Mus musculus: one gene and its partners. The protein of the gene in region 6 binds, or shares a complex with, the protein of the main gene of each other region. Links are inferred from orthologs where the notes say so. Each region holds a gene or a part of one and is shown on either strand. Other genes may lie near its edges.

Region 1 (3,500 bases), on a different chromosome or scaffold from region 6:
ATACCTGAGGCCCTAAGTTTGCTTTCTAATAGCAACGACAGCAAACTCTGTCTTTGTTTTTTGTTTTGTTTTGTTTTGTTTTGTTTTGTTTTGTTTTGTTTTGTTTTGTGTTTGAGTGAGAGGTTCTCTGTTTAGCCCTAGCTGTCCTAGAACTTACTGTGTTGATCAGGCTGGCCTCGAACTTCAGGGATCTGCCCACCTCTGCTCCCCCAGTGCTGGGCTTAAGGCGTGCGCCCCCTGTGCTCAGCTTTGTTCCTGTGCAGGTGGTTTCCTGAAATGACGGTGTTACACGGTAGAAAGCAATGTGGTCACGCGTGCACGTGCCTGCCTTTGCTGCAGCTGCCTGCTTTGTTCCTTACTCACATTTGTAAAACTTGTGAAACACAGATTCTTTACTTCTCTTTGACATAGTTTTTGTGTATGAGAAGTAGGTGACTCATTTTATCTTTAGAGAGCATTTATTTATATTTTAGAATTCCTGTATAGAAAAAACAGTGAGTGCTTCTTTTTCTAATTTCTGCTGTCTATGAAACTTATTGGAAGTTGTTAACTGAAATTTAGGGTTGTTGTTTTTAGTTTTTATGCATATAATACTTTAACAGCAATACAGATATTTTGTTATATCAAATAATGATGTTAATTAGTCATCATTCCTTTTGAAAATGCTGTGTTTATGACTTTTAGATATCCATGTGTGACGGATGTGAGAATTTATTTCTGCTCTTTTTTGGTGAAGTGATGTAATTTTGTGTTTTCAGATATGATTCACCACCTTCCACTGTTGACAGAGAGACAGTACGTTTCGACAATTCACTCTCGCCTCCAGGACTCTCAGCCTTGGAAGCTTCCTGGACTGCAGGCCACTGTTAGGCTTGCCTGGGCCCTGGCGTTGAGGGGGATATCCCAGCTACCGGATGTAACAGGTAAGGAAGGAAGGTTGGAGAGAACTGGCTCTGCCACTGTACCTAGCGATGCATTGATTTTCTTCCTTTAAAAGTTTTTAGGTGACTTATTTTATGTGCGAGTGTTTTGCCTGCATATATGTCTGTATTCCACATGTGTGTCTAACATTACCTGAGATCCAAGAATTCCCTGGAGTTAGGAATGGTTTCTAGTTATCATGTGGATGTGGGGAATGGAGCCTGGGTTTTTTTGAGGAACAACATCCAGGGCTCTTAACCACTGAGCCATCTTTCCAGCTCTAAATGCGTTTGTTTTCAAATATCAAATTTTAAATCAGAAAGAGAAAGTGTAAATATGAGCACGTGAAAATACAAGTTGTTTGATAAAAATTTGTGTTAGCACTTTTCATTCCAGCACTCAGGATGTAGGCGGATCTCTATAGTTTGGGGCCAGCCTAGTCTACGTCGAGCTCCAGGCAGGCAGGGTTGCATAGAGAGACTGTCTCAAAAACAACAATAACACACCCCTCATAACTTTGTAAAGTAGAACTGAGATGCACCTTATTTGCTGTCTCAGAAGAGAACCTCAGAGGTTACCTCCTTTTGTGAATCTAGTGAGAGGTCTTTACCTTCAGTGTAGGAGTTGAGAAGAGTGAGACTCCCACAGAGTCATACCTATCCTTTTTCTTTTTTGTGGTACTGATGATTGACCTTAGAGCCTTCTAAATATGTGCTAAGGGAGGAGGGTTCTGCCACTGAGCTACGGTTCTAGTTCTTTCTTTTTTAAACAGGGTCTCATGTATCCCAGGCTGGCCCCAAACTATGTAGCTAAAGGTGCCCTGGAGCTTCTCATTCTCCTGGCTTTACCTCTAAAGTGCTGGGATTATTAAATGTGTGCCACCACTTAAATTTTTGTTTACAAACTTTTTCACATTGTATCAAACTGAAGATCTAGTTTTTTAAACTCAGTGTGTTGGAAAGGAGATGTTTGGATCAATCAAGCATAGATAGGTGTGATGCTTTGAATGAATATGCTTGGCCTAGGATGTGGCACTATTAGAAGGTGTGGCCTTATTGGAGTGGGTGTGTCCTTGTTGGAGGAAGTAGGTCACTGTGGGGGTGGGCAATGAGACCATCCTCCTAACCACGTGGGAGCAAGTATTAGCTGCCTTCAGAACAAGAGGTAGAATTTTCAGCTCCTCCAGCATCGTGCCTGGACACTACCATGCTCTCTTTGATAATGGACTGAATCTCTGAACCTGTAAGCCAGCCCCAATGAAATGTTGTCCTTTTAAGAGTTGTCGTGGTCATGGTGTCTGTTCACAGCAATGAAACCCTAGCTAAGACAATAGGGCCATTTACTTAATCCTGTTCTACACAGGGCAAGCTATTCTGTTGTCTAGATTCGTGAAATGATGCTTAGAATGGTTTGCTTTACCAGCTGTCCTTTCATTGTAATTTGAAATACAAAGGCTTTTTCACTTCTCTAGGTTTGCGTAAGATGAGGTTCAAGGGAGGAAGAGTTTATTTTGGCTCCCATGGCTTGTGGGGGTTTGTCATGGCAGATAGAGCTCAGAAGGAGTATAAGAAGTGATGGCATGAATCTGCAGTCAGGAAGCAGGAAGATAATATGGTGTTGCGCTAGTTTGCGATCTTTTTTTCCTCTTTAAATTCAGCCTAGGGCCTTAGCCTATGGTGTGAAACAATCATATTCAAGGTGAGTCTTTCCTCAAGTAAACCTCTCTAGAAGGTGGGGCTCTTAGTATTTGGGATGCAGAGGCAGGAGGATCTCTTGAGTTGAAGACCAACCTAATCTATAAAGTGAGTTCCAGGCTAGCCAGGGCTACACAGTTGAGACCCTGCCTCAATAAAACCAACCCAAACAAAGTCAAAACAATAACAAGAAAACCTTTGGAAATGTCTGTGATTAAAGCTCCTATATTGTTTTTGCATGCTATGTTTGTATAAGAGCTCTCTGTCTATATCAGTGTTAACATTGCATTGATTAGCAAGTCACTTATGGGAAGAGCCAGTGCTCTTACAATTGTTTTGCTTTGTTTGAGACAAGGTCCACTATGTAGTCCTGGCTAGCCTGCAGCTTGCTACAAAGACCAGGCTGGCCTCAAACTCAGCACTCTGCTTCCTGAGTGCTGGGGCTAAAGGCATACATCACCATATCCAGCTACATTTGTATTTCAAATGTACTCTTTTAGTAGTTCTTTGGAGTTTGTGAATCAATTACAATTATATATAATTTCATTTTGTGCATAGCACCTGTTAGGAGGCTGGAAAAATGTCTGAAATATGCTTCACTAACATTCTGTCATGAGATACAAGCTGAGTTAAAGGCTTTTCTCATTTTGCTTTTCTGTGTTCTGAATCTGTAGCCCTGGCTGAGTTCACAGAAGCAGATGAAGCAATTGCAGAGCTGGCCATTGCTGATAATGTCTTCCTGTTCCTCAGCGAGGCTGTTGTGCTGGCTGAAAACTTCTATCAGGAAGAGTTTTACATCCGCAGAATCCACAGTCTTATCACAGACTTCCTTGCATTTATGCCAATGAAAGTAAGTATGGAAGTGTAGGAAGAGCTTTGTGAAAG
Region 2 (4,300 bases), on a different chromosome or scaffold from region 6:
AACATCTCCATGTAAATGGTTTATTTTCACCTTTATTTAATACTTTTCTTCTTAGGCTTGGTTTTACAATCTTAAAATTTTAGTAGTTTTTTTTTTCACTAGTGTTCTTTAGTATACATATGACGTAATCTAATTTCCTTTTTTTGTTTGTTTGTTTGTTTTTTCGAGACAAGGTTTCTCTGTGTAGCCCTGGCTGCCCTGGAACTCACTCTGTAGACCAGGCTGGCCTCGAACTCAGAAATTCACCTGCCTCTGCCTCCCAAGTGCTGAGATTAAAGGCGTGAGCCACCACTGCTTGGCCTAATTTCCTTTTAAACTTGTTAGTAAAAGTACTTAATTTTTATATTTTAGGCAGGGTCTACTACTAGTCCTGGCTGGCCTGCAATTCACAATGTAAAGAATTCAAAGATCTGCTTACATGTCTCTTGGGTGCTGGGATTAAACATGTGTAGCACCATGCCCAGTTGAGTTCTTCAACATTTTTCTACTTTGGTTTTGGGAGTGCTATCATTTAGCTATTACTTTTTAGCTTTATCCCAATCCTTTACTTGTCCAAATTCCTATCTACACTCTAGCTTAACTCATGCATAGCCAATTACACAGCGTCCTTCGTTCACATATAAGCTTACATACAGTATTTGCCGTTTCTAATTCCTAGCCCCAGTTTATTGTATTTATACCGATAAGCACTGCAGGTTAGCTCAGTAGTTTCCAAGTTTTCCACAATAATACCTCATTTTATGCATCAAATATTTATGGAGCACCTAAGTTCCAGATATTTTGTTTGGTACAAATACTCGTGTAAACAGAACCCTGGCCTTGAAGACAGTCAGTCTCGCTCGCAGTCTGATGATCTAAGTAAACTTTAAGAGGCTTGGTGGGCAGTGAAGATAAGACGCACATAAACACTTTATAGCACTAGAAAATGAGAAGCAGAAGCAAGCACACATTTCCAATCGCACAGAAGAAAAGGGTGGTTTGGCTAGTCTCATTGTAAATGACCTAACAAAACAGCAAAACGAGAAGCCTAATCCATAATCCAGCCTGCCTTAAAATCACTTGGGAGATGTACGGGGGAGAACGCTTAGCTTGGTCCTCACTGAACTAAGAATAAAGAATGTCGCCTTTAGATTTAAGTTTCTCAGGTGCACCGGCCACCTAAAATTGTACATCTTTTCGCAGACCTGGTTCCCCAATAAACTGCTCCCTCGTTCTGAGCAGGCTGCTTGGGCTGGCCTTTTCCCTTCCCTCGGTCGACGCCGTGCATGTCACGCGTGGGGCCTCGCCTTGCCTGCCTGAGTCTCGCGTGGTGACTCTAATACGCGCGCAAGGGAGTCGGGAAAGAACCTGGCCAATCCAGGGAGCCAGACTGACAACCAGGGCCAAAAAATGTGTACTTGATTGACATGAATGCTGACCAATGAAAAAAGAAGAGCAGCGACGCTTCCGCCCCAATAGGCCGGCTGTTGGCAATTTCAGCCAATCGCGCCCAGAAACTTGTCTGGTGGGTGGTCCCCGAGGCGTGGAGGTTGGTGGCTGTTGAGCGGTTCCCGTGGTAAAGTCCCCGAGTGGAACATCTCTGTCGGAAGAGAGAATGAGTTTAGCTCTGAGGTCGGTAACGAGGAGGCCGTGCCTCCGTCCCCCCAGAGGGCCAGGGCGGGTGTGGACGGGAGACCGGGTCGGGGGCGGGTGCCCAGCGCCGAGCACCAGACCTCGGCGGTTCCCGCCTCCGGGCACCGCCGCAGCCCGAGTGAAGTCTCGCGAGGTTTCCCTCACGCGACTGCGGGACTCAGCCCTGGTTGCCTGATTCCCCCTGGAAAGTCGCAGGAGCGCTCGCCTTTCTCCCCGGGCCCCGAGGCACGCTGTGCTCTAGGCGTCTCGGGTGGAGCTCGTTTCCGTGACACCGTCCTTTCACTTCCGTCCATCCCTCCCCTCATTGGCTCCTCACCTTGCCCATCTACAGTTAAAGGTGCCCCGGGCGGGCCGCGCCGCGCCGCCCCTTTGGCTCCGCAGGGTGACGAAGGAGGCGGGAGCTGGCGTGGGGGTGTGGCGAGTGGGGGCAGCCGGGGTCACGTGGGCCACTGGGCCGGCGTCCCTGAGCCCGACGGCGTCCAGACGTAAATAGCGCGAGCAGTTAGTTAGCCGAGTTTCAAGGGTTTGAGGTTTAAAGCTTCCATCTTTTAGAACGTGCGGATACACGTGCTGTATCCTCGTTTACACATTTGGACCGCTTTTTGCATTGGCAGCTTTTGAAGGCAGACATTTTCAGATCCAAGTGCCCTTTTTAGATTTTTCTTTAAGCTTCTCCAGAGTTTTAAGACGTTTAACCTATCGTTTACATGTTAAGTGAGAGTTAAAACACTTTTAAACATCACGTAGACTTAAGCACGACTATTAGATGCTGTGATTTTTTTTTTTTTTTTTTTTTGGTGTCTAGTATTTGAATGTTTAGACCCTTTTATATTTTGCCTGGCTAATATCAGTGGAATAAAACCACAAAGCAGTGTTACAAATGTATAATCTAAAAACATTTTGAGCTTACAGTGCAAAAGTAATCTTTTAAGTTTTATGGTTGTTTTTTTGTAGTAATTGTGAGAATTTATAAGCTGTCCAAAATCAAGTCTATTCTGGTTGATTGTTTTGTTCTTTATTTTTGGTAGATGACATTGTTTTGTTCTTTATTTTTGGTAGATGACATGAATAATATGTATGGTGTTTTCGGTGCTTTTGACTTTGTTTAGGATTTCTCTTATAAAAGTACATTTGACTACAGGACATTGATTTAGGGGCAGTTCCTTTATTTGCCAGGCTACTCTGCTTTGTTAAAATTTAGAAAATGAATCTTTGTCCTAAGATGGGTTAAAGTGGCCTAAAGACATTTTTCTGTGTCCTAGAGGTGAGCTTGTAGTAGACAAAACAAAAAGGAAAAAACGAAGAGAGCTCTCTGAAGAACAGAAGCAAGAAATTAAAGATGCTTTTGAGCTGTTTGATACCGACAAAGACCAAGCCATAGATTATCATGAATTAAAGGTAACAGGGGACTTTTAAGACCCATTTTTGTTTAACTCAATTGCATTTGTGACTGTTGCTTTAAAGTCTATTTTAGAAGCTTGTCTCGGAACTGTGAGGCTGTTTGTAGTGCCCACCCACAGGTGGTACAAGAAAACAGTACAAACAGAATATGGCTTGTAGAACCTTGTATTTAAGTGCGTAATGATGGAAAGTGTAACTTCTCCATTCACCCAGTTAAAGGGAGAGTCCTTAGCATGCTCTTCCCACTGCTGTTTTCCTCTGTGGGATGGTATATAGCTCAGCTTTTTAAAACACGATGTTTGTGGCCTATGCTTGTTGCTTGTGCAGACCTGTACATTCCATGTGTATCATGTGCAGTGTAGAGTACGGCCTTGTGTGCCTTCCAACACTGTTGCCTTGAGACAGACTGTCTCATTGAATTGGAAGTTCAGTACTTCTGAACTAGGTTGGCTAGAGAGTGAACTCTGGGGTCACTCCAATCAACACACCTCTGTCACTGGCACCTGCAGCCAGGCCTGTCTTTTTACATGAGTGCTGGGGATTTGAACTCTGGTCCTCAAGATTGCAGGGCGAGGAGCACTCTTACTCACTGAGCTATCTCTGTAGTGCAACCTAAAAAGTTTTGAGATGGAGAGATAGTTGCCTTTGCTCAGACATTTCTGAGATTGAGCTTTTAATTTTTAAAATAGTACTAACACACTCTTAGTGTGCTCGTCTCTGTTACAAAGGATATAAATTGTCTGATGCCTAATGTTGCTATGTGCTGAGGGAAAATACCCAATTTAAGGATTAAAATTACGAGTAAAGATCGAGGGGGAAATTTGTTATGAACACATTTCTTATGTTCAACCCAGTGAGAAAGATAACATTTGATATCTTAAATGTTAACTGTAGTTTTAAATTGGGCAACATTGTAGGTGATTTTTAAGCATTTCAAGTAGGGGTAGATAGAAACTGAGGTGAGAGGATAGACTATCTGAAAGTATTACAGGCCTGAAGCTGGGGCCTCAATATTGAGGCCCTCTGTTCGCTCCTTCCCCATCCCACTTGTGTCTTGCTGCCGCTCCCTCCCGTGCAGTCTGAGTCCGTCCTGTACAGTGTCTCGCCATTTGTTGGCATTGACTGTTTCGGTTTGGGACTTGGTTTCACAGCTCGAGCTTCCTCCTTTTCTATTCGTCTTTACACTACCCTTACATATCTATCTTTCTTGAATTCTTTGACCATGTTGTTAGCTCATAAGCCTTTCCTGGCTTCCTCTGCGTTTGTT
Region 3 (4,042 bases), on a different chromosome or scaffold from region 6:
GCTGACTAGAACACTTTATCAAACAGGCATCTACCAAACTAGAATTATTAATGGTGACAACCTTGCCTAGGCCTGTGTTCACATGGTCCTCATTAGGTCAGGACGGTGACCTTCATTGAAAGATTAGACATGTTCGAGACTGTGCAATCCAAAAAGTGCCTCTTTAACGATTACAGGCTATTACGGGAGCTAAAGCAATGGCTCAGCATACTGCTCTTGCAAAGGACTTTGGGTTTGGTTCCTAGTACCCATGCCGCCTCACAACCACCTGTAATCTTACTCCGGAGATCTGATGACCTCTTTTGGCCTCCTTGAGCACCAGGACACACACACACACACACACACACACACACACACACACACACACACACTCACACACGAGTGCTTACAGTTAGCCCCACACTCTTTTACATTTGTCAAAACCTCCTCCTATCCAGGTCTCTCCTCTCAGCAGCTGCTGAGACCTGCAGCTTGCCTGTCCTGTTATTTTTCTCTCAAACTCCCAACAAAATTGTTTTCATTCAGCGCCTGTTTTCAAATTTCTTTTACCCACTAGACTAAGAACCTCCTGAAGGGTTCTTGTATATCCCAGTGACACACTTTGTTCCCAACGCGGCCACACTGAAGTAATCTCTTTTCTTTGGGTATCACCACTGCTTTTTTCTGTAATTGGCCAACGGGGCAGGTGGCCAGCCTAGCTTGCTTGTTCAGGCTGCCAAAAGACAGCCTTTTCCCTTGAGAAACTCCAAAACATGTTTTTATCTTTCACCTTTCAGTTGGAATGACACCTTTCCTGGCCATCCGACCATTTTTCTTCAATTAGTTTGCTTTTCCGTTCTTAGCTCTCCTAATTACTGCTGCATTTATTCACTATATTTTGTTTCCCTGGCCAAGCTGAGAACTGCTTGAGGTCAGGGATCTTGTCTGCTGTGGAAGTCACCGTGTTCCCTGCACCTAGAACAGGCCCAGGCACTTGACTGAAGCTCTACACCGAGTGGCCGAGCTCTCTGGGTCTGCCCAGCATTGGGAACTGCGGAAATGCTTCCTCTAGGACTGTCAACTCCAACCACGTGGGCGGGAGCAGGGCGGAGCTCCTTGACTTACTTGTAGCGACAGCCCCGCCTCCGGCCCCGCCCCGCCCCCACGCCTGTGTCCTCTTGCGGGTCTCCATAAAGTTCATTTGGCGGCGCAACGCGCAGGGGCTTCTGGGAGCTTACTGCCTCAGCCAATCAGGAGGCGCGGGCGAGCGGCGCGAGAAGCGGCGGCGGCGGCGTAGTGAAGAAGCCGGCAGCGGGCGGCGACGGAGGCAGGTAAGGTGTGTGAGGTGTGGGCGCCCACGCGGCCCCGAGCCGACCCTGGGCCCGAGTTCGGGGCCTGGCCTTGAAGCAGAACACCGAGCCTAGTTCGAAGAGGCTCGTGCTTCCTCTCTTGCTGTAGCTGGGCATGCCGGCCGGCGACTGCTCGCCGAGTGCTGTGACTAGGCTCTTCCGAGCGTGGTCCTCCCCACTGGTGCTCTGTCGCCACGCCCACCCACGGCTGCCAGGCGTCACCCGGCCTGACTGCCCTCTTTGGGGCGTGGGGGCCGTTCTTCTAGAGAATGGCTCTTCCGGGTGAAGGGGCGGCCAGCGAACCCCTGTCAACTTTAATCTCCTTTTACGGAGAATCCGACAGGATGCTAATGATTGCCGCTTCGGTTGTCTCACCTGTTTCTGGGTACCCTGTATCCTGTCTTCTGTAAGGGATGCCCAAGTATATTGGGTCCCTTCTGAAAGAAAATCACAGCATGGGCGGCATGGTGTCGCTTTCAAAGCGAGTTGAAGCCAGCCTGATCTACATTAGACCCTGCCCCACCCCTACCCCCCTAGATGACTTTCAGTACAAGCAAAGGTCAGCGCTTTAGTAATAATAACAGTAATACTAATCATAGAAATAACAACAACAATAGTAATATAAGCTCCCTGTAGTGAGCTGTAAGGCTTTTAAATAACGTGACCCATACTTTCAATGTCTGTTACACCCCACATTCTCTCCCCACCCCCAACACCACCGCAGGACATGCTTTGACTTAAGGGCTTTGTTCTTGTGGTTGGATGTCTGTTTTGTCTGCTCTCTTTCTTGGAGTCTTCACTAGGGCCATTAGAATCTAAGCCTTTCCTCACTCTTCTTGTCTTCACTGCTTTTTTTTTTTCCCCTAAGCATTTAGGTTTTATTTGTCCTATGTATTGTTTGTCCTTCCCCGACCCCTGTAGAACATGAGTGCCTACCTAGTACTTAAGTTTGGTACACAATAAAGTAGGTGCTCAATAAATATCAAATAAATGAATGTTACTGATATTATAGGCTTGTGGTGAATGAGACAGGCTTCTTTCTTGGGAAGACATCACACACATAAGCAATAAACATAAATATTAAAACCATGAGACTTGAACTGTTGGAGCTGTGGTGAACTTGGGTTCTTCTCCCTCCCTCCCTCCCTCCCTCCCTCCCTCCCTCCTCTCTTCCTCTCATTTGTGTGTTCTTGTGTGTCTTTTATGTATGTGGATATTTCTGTGGAGGCCAGAAGAGAGTGTCTGATTCCTTGGAGCTAGAGTTACAGACAGCTGTAAATCACTGATGTGGGTGCTGGGACCTGGGCTGGCGTCCTCTACAGAGCTGTAGATTTTCTTAACTGCTGAGCCATCTCTCTTACCCCTGAGCCTATAAGGTAGATGCATTTTGAGGTGTTTGTGTGTGTGTCAGAGTAAAGATCAGGAGGAGGTCCCAACTCTGTTATGGTCACTAGTCATTTTAATTAGCAAACATGTTTTTAGTTCTATTATGTGCCAGGCTTAGGTCAATGCTCAGGATTCAGAGTTAAATATCTGTGAACCTTCCTCTACGGGAAGAGATGTTTGAGAAGTGGTCACAATTGCTCCGCTAGGGAAGAATGCCTAGAAGGTTCAGAATAAGTAGGGAGGGCCTTCTCTGTCTGTGGTGGGGATGCTTGTGTGCTTGACAGGTACAGGAGCGGGAAGGGAAGAAACTGCCAGGCTTCCTGAGGAGCAGAGATGTGTCAGGGTACAACTGAAGAAGGAGGGAAGAGTTGAAGGTGGTGCATGGCGCTGTCTGTTTTACAGAGCACCTCATGCAACCATGTCACAAACTGAGGTTGAGGTGCCCCAACTGGTCTAAAGTGGGAGATATTTTGGAATGGCCACTTTGGCCACAGGGAGAGTGTGTTAGAAGAAATGGGAAGTTTTAGACTGTTGAGGTAATCGGGAGGAAGGCATGAAGGTCAGAGCAGAGGGGAACGGTGAGGGCATGACTTGTCATGAGCTTTGAGAAGTAAACTTGGTTATAGGCTAGTCTCAGGGGAGAGGGGAGCCAGATGGTTTCTGGCTAAATTGACTGTTGTGGGGACCCAAGGTGAGGAACTAGAATTGTTGCTGGCATCCATAGATCAGTCAGGAGTAGCTATCAGATAGACAACTAGAAATAATTGGTTTGGAGAAAGAATTGGATGGAATTTAGAGATGCAACAGTCTTTTTTTTTTCTCTCTTATAGTATGGCCACTTATAGCTATCTCCCCTTTGTTTCAAACAACCTAAAGCTTGAAATGTTTTGTAGCTTTATGTTTGATGTATACGTGTGTGTGTGTGTGTGTGTGTGTGTGTGTGTGTCTGTGTGTGTGTGTGGTGAGATGCATGCCCATATATGTTTGGATGTGTGTGTGTGGGGGGGTGAGATGCTGCCCATATGTGTTTGGATGTGTGTGTGTGTGGGGGTGAGATGCATGCCCACATGTGCTTGGATGTGTGTGTGTGTGTGGGGGGGGGGGGTGAGATGCATACCCACATGTGTGTGTGTGTGTGTGTGTGTGTGTGTGTGTGGTGAGATGCATGCCCATATGTGTTTGGATGTGTGTGTGTGAGATGCATGCCCATATGTGTTTGGATGTGTGTGTGTGTGTGTGTGTGGTGAGATGCATGCCCATATGTGTTTGGGTGTGTGTGTGGGGGGGGTGAGATGCATGCCCATATGTGTTTGGATGTGTGTGTGTGT
Region 4 (3,500 bases), on a different chromosome or scaffold from region 6:
CACATGCATTCAGTCCCAGCACTCAGCAGGCAGAAGCAGAGGCAGACCTCTGAGTTTGAGGTCTCAGAGTGACTGGTAGATAGAGAAAGTTCGAGGCCAGCCAAAGCCATCTTGTAAGCCTCCCAAAAAGTGTGTGTGTGTGTGTGTGTGTGTGTGTGTGTGTGTGTGTGTGTGTGTGTGTGAAAGAGAGAGAGATTGAGAGATTGAGAGATTCACATTTGAACATACTGAGGCCCCTAGCACAGTAGCACACTTCTGTAATCCCACATTTTAGAGGTGGAGGCAGGAGTAAAGGTTTTTAAAAAATGTACTGTGTGTGGTACTTTGCCTGGATGTGTAGACGTGCACCATGTGAGTGCCTGGTGCTCTTGGTGTGCAGAAGGAGCCATCAGCTTTCCTAGAACTGGAGTGATGGTGGGTGGTTGTGAGCTTTTGTGTGGTGTGGGTACTGGGAACCAAACCTGGCTCCTCTACAAGAGCATTGTGCTCTTGACCACTGAGCCAACTGTCTCTCCAAGTCACTAGTTCTTACAAATACAGTTATGGAAGGAGGGAAAGATGTGTAGTCACCTTGGTGGCTTTGGTGCAATAGAATGTGTTAGTGTATGGAACTGACGTGGTGCTCCCTTGCTCCCTGTGTTTTAGCATCCATGAGCATGTTCTCTGATTTCCTGCACTCTTTCTTGAAGCACTCTTCAACCACAGTCTTTGATCTCGTAGAAGAATATGAAAATATTTGTGGTAGTCAGGTAAGTGAATTCTGTCCTATGTTTGGTCAGCTTAAGTGCTTGGAGTTTTCTTGTCTCTTTGGAGAAAAAAAGAAATCTGCTCCTTAGAAAAGAAAGTCTGAGGCTAGAGAGACAGCTTAGTGAGAAAACGTCTGAGTCTGCGAGCATGGGGGCCTGAGTTCAGATTCCCCGCACACCAGGGCCATGGCTGTGGGGGCAGCAGGGCAGATCCAGGAGGCCATCCCTGACAGGAGTGACAGACGCACCCTTACTGCGAGATGCCGATAGTGAGGGAGGGCGTCCGTGCGGATGTGGGAGCAGGAATGGTGGGTTCTCTAGCTTTCATTCAGTTTTGCAGTGAACCTAAAAGTGCTATTTATAAAGCAAGGAACAGAACTTCAGAAAATGGTCATGTGTGAGAATAAGCGGAATATTGGCTTGGGAAGCAGCCAAGCAAATAAAGTGTTAGCCACACAGGCAACTGAGAGTGGTAGGCAAGCAGCCTCTTATGTCTGTGTTCTTCCCGTAGGTGAATATCCTCAGTAAAATAGTGAGCCGCGCAACGCCTGGACTGCAGAAGTTTTCCAAGACGGCCAGTATGCTCTGGCTTCTCCAACAGGAGATGGTCACATGGAGGCTGCTCGCCTCTTTGTACAGGTAACTTTCTGTAGAGCTCACAACTCCTAAGTGAGACGAACAGAAGCTAATAAGCCAGTTCGGCAGATGAATTCAGTGTTAATGAGGGGTAGCCTCAGCATAGGTTTGCTGATCTTGGGATTTATCATTCCTAATACTTGAGGTGTGGAGAGTATGTTATGAGGAAGAGGGGCCATCAGGTCATAAAACTGGGAGCTACAAACTTACCAGTCCATAGCCAGACAAAGCACAACACCCGTGTGATCCCAGGAGGCCTAGGCGAGCCTGGGCTCCAGAAAGTAAGGGAAGAAAGAGACCTGGTGGTTTGGGGTTTTATTATGCAATACTGAAAGATTTGCTTAATTATGCTATATGAAAAGGTACGTTCCTTTGGGGGTGCCTTCAGGCTACAGTAGTGGTTGCCCTTTGTGCTCGGGTCTTGGTACTGGAGTGATGATGTAGTTACTGCTTACTTCCTTCATTAAAGGTGATGATGGAGCCCACTGCATCTCATTGGTTTCTACGCCGTCACACCACAGAGTGTGGGACAGCTTACCAGGTGGCTTCATGCATTTGTGTAAAGTAAAGCTTTTTCATTTGTGTTCTTTTCCCCAGAGACAGAATACAGTCTTCATTAGAAGAGGAAAATATGTTTGCAATTGCTGTAAGTTTTCTATGAATTTTTTCCGTCACAGGTTTTTTCCATTACGCTTTACAGATTTGATTTTTCAACCCTCCATTTGCATTTCCCCATTAAAAAAGATTTACAAGTACAGAGATGATGTTCAAAGTAATCAAATGTTTATAGTTATGGGTAAAAGTTCTTTTTATCCCTCAAATTATTTAACGTAATAACTTGGATTAACATCCTATCAGATGTTTTCTGTGTATTTTTATACATACACACATAATCAAATTACTCTTGAGTCATTTGTTCTGTTTTTCTTTTCCCTTTTTTGAGACAGGGTGTGGTTTTTGTAGTCCAGATGGCCTCAAAGTCACCACCCTTCTGTCTCCCCATCTTGAGTGCTGAGATTATAGATATACGCCATCACACCACACATCTTATATTGGTTTTATTTATTTATTTACTATTGGGCATTTTCTGAGAGTCTCCTGAAGTATAAACTGGCCTCTGAAGTATAAACTGGCCTAGACCTGTCTGTCGGGTCAGAACTGCCGGGATTATGAGGGAGCAGACGGCACCCAGTCAGGCCTCATGAATGCCAGGCATCTCTGCCAGCTGCGCCACATCCCAGCACATGGCTTTTTGTTTTGCTTTTTAAAGATTCATTAGTAATAAATCTGTATGTCAGCAATAGTAATTTTATATGGGGTTATCTTTTTTCCTGTCCCCCTAACCTCTTATTGTTATGTGTATGTGAAGATATAATTGCATCTTAACTGTTATAGACTATTTTACTTCTCTATTTTGGAGGCAACTGTCTCATTTTAATATGTAAATTCTTGGTTACTGTTAAGAAAGGAAGTTTGTTTGCTGACAGTTGGAAGGAGACTGGAAACGGTCAGTGGTCTTTTGGGGTTTTGTTTCTTTTAGCTTCTGTTAACAACTTTCTGTAGTTTATCGTCATCGTGGATTGTAATGATAGCTTTCCTAATACTACATTATTTCTGTAAAGATGGGCCATGTGGTATTCCTATATGTACTTCTTGATTTTATTAGGCACACTATTTAAGACTTTAAGGTCTGTGGTATATTTCTATAGCATCCTCATATAATCTTCATCTATAGGATTATGCAAGTTCTTCAGAACAAGTTCAAGAAAAAAGGGTTGGTTTTTTTTGGTATATGTTTTTTGTTGAAGAATGTGCACATTAATTTGTTCACTGAAGGATGAGCAAAACTGTCTGTGACAGCAATGCCTTCAAGGAGTCAGGCTGCTGCTGGCTCTCTCCTACCCCAGAGACACCCCAGCCCCTCCCTGGTTTTGGTTTTAGTTTCTGAAATAAGGTCTAGTGTAGGCACAGCTCCAAATTTTATCACTTTATGAAAGTGTTTTACCAGCATATATGTCTGTGTACCACGTGTGTGCCTGAGAATTCCCTGGAACTAGAGTTCCGGTGGACAGTTAGGAGCCCCCGTGTGGGTGGATGATGGAAATCAACCTCATGTCC
Region 5 (3,500 bases), on a different chromosome or scaffold from region 6:
AGGGTCTCTCTCTTGCACATTAATATACGTAGAAATGTATCTGTTTTAAAATACAAAAATAACAAATTAAACATATACTGTACCTAGTATGTACATTAAAATAATTTAAAATAAAAATACTTGCAACTAGACTGAAATACTGATAGTAGATTACAGCCTAAACCAAGCAACCATCCAATTATTTTATTGTAGCTCAATTACTGGCTACCATTACTTATTTAACATAGAGTTTAAAAATATTCATTTCAAAGTAACTAATAACCATACAGAGCTAATAACATGTTTACACATTTTACTATTTAATTCACGATTTAGACACTTATTTTATGTGTATCTAAGTGCTAGCATAAAAGTATTTGTGCCACAATGGTGCCTGGTGCCCAAGGAGACCAGAAGGTGGCACCAGGTCTCCTGGAGCTCAAGTTACAGGTGTTAGGAAGTCCCCACTTCCTCTGCAAGAGCCTCTGAGCACTCCTAACCACTAAGCCACCTCTCCTGACCCTCATTTTACTACAAAGTGCTATATTCCTCAAATATTTTTCCACCGCTACCTACCAGAAATGAACACATAAAATGCTTTTTCTTCCTGATTACACTTAGTAAAGCATTGAAGAATTTCACATAAGATAATCAAAATGATTATCATCTACAAACAATAAAATTTTAAAGTGAAAATATGTAAAACACTAAAGTTTCCCAAACTAAGAGAATCGTGTCTAAACAAGAAAATTATACATAAATACATTATGTCATACATAAAATTCATCAGAGAGATAAGTAACTAAGTGTGGTATTAAAGAACTATCCTTTTAAAACCAAGGTTACATGCAGCCTTTCTCACTACCAAGTGCCCTCCTCTTCCTATCACTGCTTTCATAATCTGCCTCCAGTGTAACTTCCACCTCTAGGCTACTCTGAGTAAGGAAATGAGACTCAGCAAGTCTCTTGCCTTACTGACAAGACAGCAACTGCTCAACTGTTAGCACTGAGTCTGTGTCTGTTGCTTATCTCCAGCCACCTGAAGCACCAGATAGCTAACCAAGAAGAAATTGACAAACAGGAATGATCTCTTTCATCCTACCCGAGAGCAATTTTAGAAAAAGTGTTTTAAACCAAGTAACTTCTGCACTAGATATAAACAGAAAGCAGTAAGAAATACTTGTTAGAGGCTCAATCTAACTATTGTCTGAGAGCAGTTAATTCCTGATTCCAGAATACACTTGAAAGAAAAAATGTGTTCTTTAGCAGTTTTTCCTATTACAAGGATGAAAAATTAAAACATTTCCAGTTTGGTACTTACTTTTTAGCAAGATCATATTCTTTAGCTTCATAGTACAGCTTTGCAAAATAGAATCCTTTCATTGACTTCTAAAAAAGAGAGTTGAGTGGTTTTACTGTTCACATTTTCAAATATTGCATTTTTTTCAAAGTACCAAAAAAAATACCCTAACAAGTTTAATACTATTTTTTTTATATAAAAGGTAAAAAATGCTGCCTAGTGTTTTAAAAGTTAATGGTCCCAAATATTATAATTTCTATCATAAAAAATAAATTCAAGGATAGTTAAAACAGACATCAGAAGCTACATTTCAAGGCATGTAAAGTAATTCATATCTGTACTCCTAAGCACTCAGGAAATAGAAGCAAAAAGATCATGAGTTCAAAGCCATCCTAAACTCAAAACCAGCCTGAGCTTACAGACAGACAGAGACACAGACACAGTCAGACACACACACAGCTTCACTCATTCTGACTGGCTAGGGATGCTTGGCCATGTATTACCCAGCATGTTTTATGTATTACCCACCAAGTATTACCCAGCATGTTTTATGTATTACCCACCAAGTATTACCCAGCATGTTTTGTACTGACTCACTGGCATCACTCTACAGAGAAGTACACAGAAAACAACTTGTCTGGGGAAAGAGACATATACTAGAAATCACTCTTTTCCTACCATGTGTAAGAAGTCTCCTTGGGAAAGCATTTCAGAACCATTAAGGTACTAGAAATTCCCTGGTCAACGTACTATTTTCTTTACAGACCAGCATTTTACACAAGGCTAAAATAAAATTTGGTATTTTGTTTTGGTTTAGGTTTTTGTTGTTTTTTTATTTGCTTGTTTTTTGTTTTTTGAGACAGGGTTTCTCTGTATAGCCCTGGCTGTCCTGGAACTCACTCTGTAGACCAGGCTGGCCTCGAACTCAGAAATCCACCTGCCTCTGCCTCCCGAGTGCTGGGATTAAAGGCGTGCACCACCACCGCCCAGCTCAAGCAAGACTGATTTCTTAAGCAATGAAATTGGTTTTTTTGCTATTTACTTTAGTGGTAATATGCTAAGAAAAGCTATTCTCACTTGAGATTCGTAAAATTTTCATCCCTATTCTTTCAGTTTCTCTAAAATTATTTTGAAATATAACACCTATTTTTCCAAGTAGTATACACTGGAGCCTTTGTTTCTAAAACCAACCATCAATTTTCAAGCAATACCTACTAGATAACCCACCCATTAAACAAACCAATCCCTTTCTCCATATTTTGGAAAGAACCAAATGTTCACGTGTAACAGAATCTGGTTCTGTTTTGAAGCCATCTTCTAGCTCTAGCACAAACTGACCTGAAATGCCACTACAGCCCAGGCTGCAAATGAACTGGGATTACGGTTATGAGCTACTATGCATTAGTATGTATCTTTTATGTATTGCAGTCTTAATTTATTAATACCTCTTTCTGCTACCCAACTTTACAAATGATTTACAAGATTATATTTGAAAATTGAACATGACATGACAATAGCAAGTTGTATTTACTTTCAATTTTTTTTAACAGTTTGTTTATCCAATTTACTTGTCTGCATGTAGGTTGTGTACACCACATACCTGTGTGATGCTGGAGGAGGTCAGAAATTAGTGTTGTATCCCCTGGAACTCAAATTATGAGCCACCATGTGGGTCCTGAGAACTAAACCAGTGTCTTTTGCAAGAGTAGTAAGTGCTCTTAGCCTCTAAGCCATCTCTCCAGCCCCTTCAATTTTTAGCTAAGTCAGACAAACTTGTAATTCAGTATTAGCTTTAGTTATTCAAAAACAATATTACAATATACAATCAATGTATATATCTGACTAGAGGTGCTTTTGCAAGTTCACTAGGACAAGTAGAGGAGATATATCGCTACTATAAATTTGTAAACTATATGAACATAATATTTAAGATAACTGGGGCTGCAGGGGATCTGATACATTCTTCTGGCCTCCTTAGGCACAAGCACACACAAAGATACATAGACATACATGTAGGCAGTACACCTACACACATAAAAATAAATTTAAATTTTTTTTAAAGACTAAATATAATTAGGACTGACAACGTGGCTTCAGTGAGTAAATGTACCTGGCATTAAGCCTAAAGACCTAAATCCCATCCCTAGGCCTCACATGGCAGAAGAGAACCAACTGCAGCAAACTTACCTTTAACTTCTACACACGTGAGCATACACATATA
Region 6 (4,227 bases):
TGAACACGAGACACCGGTTCTCTGCTTGTGTGAGGATTACGGCTAGACGTAGTAACTTGGAACAGGCACAGATATTTACACATTAGACAACCCTCCATCTCTGTAGGGGGAAGGGAAAACGCAGCACTTACCAATGAATGAACCTGTTCCTGGTGATGGAGAACAACTTGCCACTTTCCACATAATAGAAGCCACCAGCGCTCTCACTGTACTTCACCGTTCCAAACGCGGCACTTGCAGTCCCTACAAAATGAATGTGGTGGGCTTGCATGCGCGGTTCTCTGGGGGATGACAGGCACTGAAGAGTGCCGAGGAGCAGAGTGCAAGGGACTGACAGTGCATACAATAGTGAGTGGAAAAGGGAGGAAGAAGTCAGGCACAGGACAAGATGTGATGATGCACAGGCTTCAGGCATGTGGACTTGGATCCACCAGGGGAGACCAAAGGCCTACTTGGGGAGCCCGAGGGAAAGCAGTGGCTCCCATTCTCCCAAGCCCTTTCCGTACCAATGTCGCAGACTGTGAATTCCCGAAAGTGCCTGGGCCTTTCGCGTTCAGCTCCGCTCAGTTCCACGAAGCTCCGTTCCAGGGATCCCGCCGCCGCCATCTTCCCGCCGTCGCCGTGAGGCCTGACGGGACAAGGGCGGGTCACGTCGGCTCGTCACTTCCGGGGGTGTGGCGCGAGGCGGGGATATGTGTGTGCGCGATTTTGGCTGCCTGAGGACCGCGGGTCGGAGGCTCATCTGCGGCTTTTCACCGCGAGAATGAGGCTGAGGCGGGAAGAAGATGCCTTGACTCGCGGTCACTTCGGAGCGGCCGGAGACGGGCGGCGGCTGCGGCGGCGGCGCCCTTTTCCCGACGGCCTCGAGCAGGGGCGGGGCTGTGCGTGTTTTCATTTTGAAAAGCGGGCGCGGGCGGGGAAGAGGCCTGACGGGCACACTCCCAGCTTGCGGGAACCTTCCCCTCCGTTAGAGCGTTGGCGTGTAAGTTGTTATCCAGCCTCTTCATCGTTCAGCGAAACAAGGAGGAAAAGTAAAAGGAAGGAGGGATTCTTTGTGTTGGCATTTTTGCGAAACTTTTTCTTTACACACCCGCATACACATGTATGTGTTGAGATGTCAGCTCAGGTTGGCCTCGAACTCTGATCCTCCCGCCCCAGCCTCCGGAGTACTAGGATTACAGACACTTGCCACTCTGAGCGACACGGGTCGGATGCGTTGAATTAAATATTAATGCCCCAACCTTCTTGAAGTTATCGAAAATACAGTACAGTTTGCAAACGTGCAAGGAATTGTTTGTGAATTTCTTTCTGGGATCGGTCAGTATTCTCTGGAGGTTGAAGATTGATCATTCAGAGCCAGTTTGGGGCTACATAGTGAGACTTTGTAAATGAATGAGTAAATAAATTAAACTACAACTTCAGGCTTACAGCTGAACATGTTCGTTGGCAACTCCATCAGAATCACAACATTGCGAAGTTCCATAATTCTGCCCCAGCAATTGCATTTCCCTTGACCATTTATTGCCTTAATGACTATTTCGTGATTGTCACTGCCCACACCTCTCTTCAGATGCACCAGAAGAGGGCGCTAGATTTCATTACGGATGGTTGTGAGCCACCATGTGGTTGCTGGGATTTGAACTCAGGACCTTGGGAAGAGCAGTCGGTGCTCTTAACCGCTGAGCCATGTCTCCAGCCCTCACCCCCACTCATTCTTAGCTTACTCTGAAGTCGGCCGAGTGGGCATAGTGGCACACTGACAGCAGCTTTTGGAAGCAAGTAGATCAGGAGTTCAAGATTATCCTCCAATTTATGTCAAGATCAAGGCCAGCCTGAGGCTGCCTAAAACCCTGGCTCAAATCAAACAAAAAGCAGCTTTTAATCCCAGCACTCAGGAGGCAGAGGTAGGTGGGTTTCTGTGAGTTAAAGGCCAGCCTGCATTACAGAGTGAGTTCCAGGACAACCAGGGCAACAGAAACTGTCTTGACGTCCCCATTCCTCACAAAAGAAGACAACTTGCCCTGCAACCATATTTTCCTACCAGCAATTATAGCCTTATGCTTCTGTTTCTGTACATTGAACTGTGTCTGAACTTATAGAGAGACACCCTCCCTACCTTGACCTTCGGTCTATTCCTCATTTTAGCATCTTTAATTTTTCCATTTTTACTAAATTACTCCTCTAAATCTCACTAAGATAAAGTCTCCCCTAGAGCCCTGCTAACCCCTGTCCTTCTGTACTTGGCAAAAAGGGAGTTATGTCTGCACTCAGTGGATGCATCTCAGTGGATCAAGATGAAGCCTAAGGTCCTGGTCCCTTGCTTCCATCTAGGTCCATCCTGGTCAATTTCAGTTCAGTTTTCTCTGCCTAATCCTGCTTTCTTCACTCCCCTAGCAATGCTGTTCTGTGAGCACACTGTGTGCTCCTTCCTGTGTGTAAATCTCTGCTTCAGAGACTTTTTTTTTGAGAGGGAAGCTCACACACACACACACACACACACACACACACACACACAATTTAAAAAATATTTTTTTAAAAGATTACCTGTTGTGCGGCTTGGTGGCACACATCTTGAACCCCAGCACACAGGAGGCAAATGCAGGTAGATCTCTGAATTTAAGGCCAGCCTGGTCTAGGTGAATGAGATATGTTTTGGGGAACTTGTTGTTAGTGTCATTTCCCCCACATATTCAAAATCTCTATCAAGGCAGAAAGAATGCAAGATGAACGGGAAGGTGTGCTGTAACGACACTGCCTCCTGGACACAGCATGGTGGCTGCTCTCGTGAGATCATAACTGTGGTTACCTACACAAAAGACAGGGCCTGTCAACATTCCGTGGTGGGGGTTGGACTTTGAGGCCCCATCGCTCCCCGAGGAGCCGTAGGTAAAGTCAGTGGCTGCTGTGAGGGAGGAGTAATTTTCTCCAGTGGTGTATTTGCTGGTTAGTTGCCGGTGCTCCTATAAATAAGACTCCCTCCCATGCTCATTCAAGCAACTCTAATTAAACCCAGTGGGTCACAGATAGAAAAGACATGAAAGTGGAAGAGGAACTAGTTGGGAAGAAGGGCAAAGGAGGGTGATGGGGGGTCCATGATGAAGCTGGGAATAGTGGCCCACACCTGTCATCCTGGGTGCTTGGAGGGTGGAGGCATTCTAGGCTAGTCTCAGCAACATAGTAAGTGTGAGGCCTGCCTAGGTTACATCAAACCCTGTCTCACAGACGTAGGCAGAAGATTTTATTAGAGTGTGTGTTTGCTTTTTTATTAATGTTATTATTCATTTTACAAATGATGGACATCATATGACATTTTCATACATGTACTTTAGCCTACTTTGTTCACATTCACCTGTTAGCAAATCTTGTCCTCCCTTTCCCTCTTACTGTTCCCCTTCCTCTTCCCAAATAATAGTCCTCCCCTCCCCTTTTATGTCATGTATACATATATTTAAATCTAGATTTTGCATTTTTGTGCCTTCCTTTATTAATAATAATGATGATCCCCAACGTAACCATTTTCATTCAAACGATATGATTTTCTTCTTGTTTATGGCTGAATAGAACTTGAGATGTGATGTTTTCCAAGCTTCAAGCTGTCTTTGACCTTTGGTTCATGTTACAGTAAATTCAAGGTGAATTGCAGTAAGTTAACAGTAACACTTTACATTGCCCGAACTTAGTGACTTTTTTTGGGTGGTAATTCGATGGAAATTATTGAATTATTCAGTGGAATAATTTCTTTCAGTGGAAATTAGTGTTATTTTTCAGTGAGCACTTTCAATGTAATTACTTTATTTCGGGGGTTCCAGGAATGTGGTTTCCTGTCATTTGGCCAGTGACTTTCAAAAGTGATAATAGCAATGACTTGAGATCTAGCCACAGTGCAAAGGGCTTATTATTTTTTTCTATTTCTCTAGATTTTTAAATATTGGTTTTTATCTTCATGCTGTTCTATTAATCATAGTAAGTAGCTTTCCAGTTCCTGGAAGCATATTGGTTTGTCCCACACTTATTTTTTCAGTCTTGATTGCATGTTGGGCACTGGGTTATAATGATCCCCCAAAATAGGCTAAGCAGCCAGATACCTTGTCTTTCTTGTGTTTCGAGACAGGGTTTCTCTGTGTAGCCCTGGCTGTTCTGTAACTCCCTCAGTAGACCAGGCTGGCCTCGAACTCAGAAATCCACCTGCCTGCTGCCTCCCGAGTGCTGGATTAAAGGTGTTTCTCC

What was found.
Region 1: Nup160 (region 6) and Nup205 share a complex: the UniProt entries of both Homo sapiens proteins name them as parts of the nuclear pore complex. The link is inferred for Mus musculus from reciprocal best matches to the Homo sapiens genes NUP160 and NUP205.
Region 2: Nup160 (region 6) and Cetn3 share a complex: the UniProt entries of both Homo sapiens proteins name them as parts of the nuclear pore complex. The link is inferred for Mus musculus from reciprocal best matches to the Homo sapiens genes NUP160 and CETN3.
Region 3: Nup160 (region 6) and Nup93 share a complex: the UniProt entries of both Homo sapiens proteins name them as parts of the nuclear pore complex. The link is inferred for Mus musculus from reciprocal best matches to the Homo sapiens genes NUP160 and NUP93.
Region 4: Nup160 (region 6) and Nup107 share a complex: the UniProt entries of both Homo sapiens proteins name them as parts of the nuclear pore complex. The link is inferred for Mus musculus from reciprocal best matches to the Homo sapiens genes NUP160 and NUP107.
Region 5: Nup160 (region 6) and Ranbp2 share a complex: the UniProt entries of both Homo sapiens proteins name them as parts of the nuclear pore complex. The link is inferred for Mus musculus from reciprocal best matches to the Homo sapiens genes NUP160 and RANBP2.

The regions. Positions count from the first base shown.
Region 1 is NC_000072.6:35,191,116-35,194,615, forward strand, and holds part of Nup205 (nuclear pore complex protein Nup205), read left to right. Parts: intron 1-758; coding exon 759-923; intron 924-3,289; coding exon 3,290-3,465; intron 3,466-3,500. UniProt on the Homo sapiens protein: Plays a role in the nuclear pore complex (NPC) assembly and/or maintenance. May anchor NUP62 and other nucleoporins, but not NUP153 and TPR, to the NPC.
Region 2 is NC_000079.6:81,781,747-81,786,046, forward strand, and holds the start of Cetn3 (centrin-3), read left to right. Parts: upstream 1-1,500; 5' UTR 1,501-1,594; coding exon 1,595-1,611; intron 1,612-2,894; coding exon 2,895-3,030; intron 3,031-4,300. UniProt on the Homo sapiens protein: Plays a fundamental role in microtubule-organizing center structure and function. As a component of the TREX-2 complex, involved in the export of mRNAs to the cytoplasm through the nuclear pores.
Region 3 is NC_000074.6:94,213,322-94,217,363, forward strand, and holds the start of Nup93 (nuclear pore complex protein Nup93), read left to right. Parts: upstream 1-1,242; 5' UTR 1,243-1,310; intron 1,311-4,042. UniProt on the Homo sapiens protein: Plays a role in the nuclear pore complex (NPC) assembly and/or maintenance. May anchor nucleoporins, but not NUP153 and TPR, to the NPC. During renal development, regulates podocyte migration and proliferation through SMAD4 signaling.
Region 4 is NC_000076.6:117,779,206-117,782,705, reverse strand, and holds part of Nup107 (nuclear pore complex protein Nup107), read left to right. Parts: intron 1-645; coding exon 646-749; intron 750-1,257; coding exon 1,258-1,385; intron 1,386-1,979; coding exon 1,980-2,028; intron 2,029-3,500. UniProt on the Homo sapiens protein: Plays a role in the nuclear pore complex (NPC) assembly and/or maintenance. Required for the assembly of peripheral proteins into the NPC. May anchor NUP62 to the NPC. Involved in nephrogenesis.
Region 5 is NC_000076.6:58,449,852-58,453,351, reverse strand, and holds part of Ranbp2 (E3 SUMO-protein ligase RanBP2), read right to left. Parts: intron 1,369-3,500; coding exon 1,301-1,368; intron 41-1,300; coding exon 1-40. UniProt on the Homo sapiens protein: E3 SUMO-protein ligase which facilitates SUMO1 and SUMO2 conjugation by UBE2I. Involved in transport factor (Ran-GTP, karyopherin)-mediated protein import via the F-G repeat-containing domain which acts as a docking site for substrates.
Region 6 is NC_000068.7:90,675,788-90,680,014, reverse strand, and holds the start of Nup160 (nuclear pore complex protein Nup160), read right to left. Parts: upstream 2,801-4,227; 5' UTR 2,545-2,800; intron 2,502-2,544; exon of another isoform or gene 1,002-2,501; 5' UTR 607-1,001; coding exon 507-606; intron 244-506; coding exon 132-243; intron 1-131. UniProt on the Homo sapiens protein: Functions as a component of the nuclear pore complex (NPC). Involved in poly(A)+ RNA transport.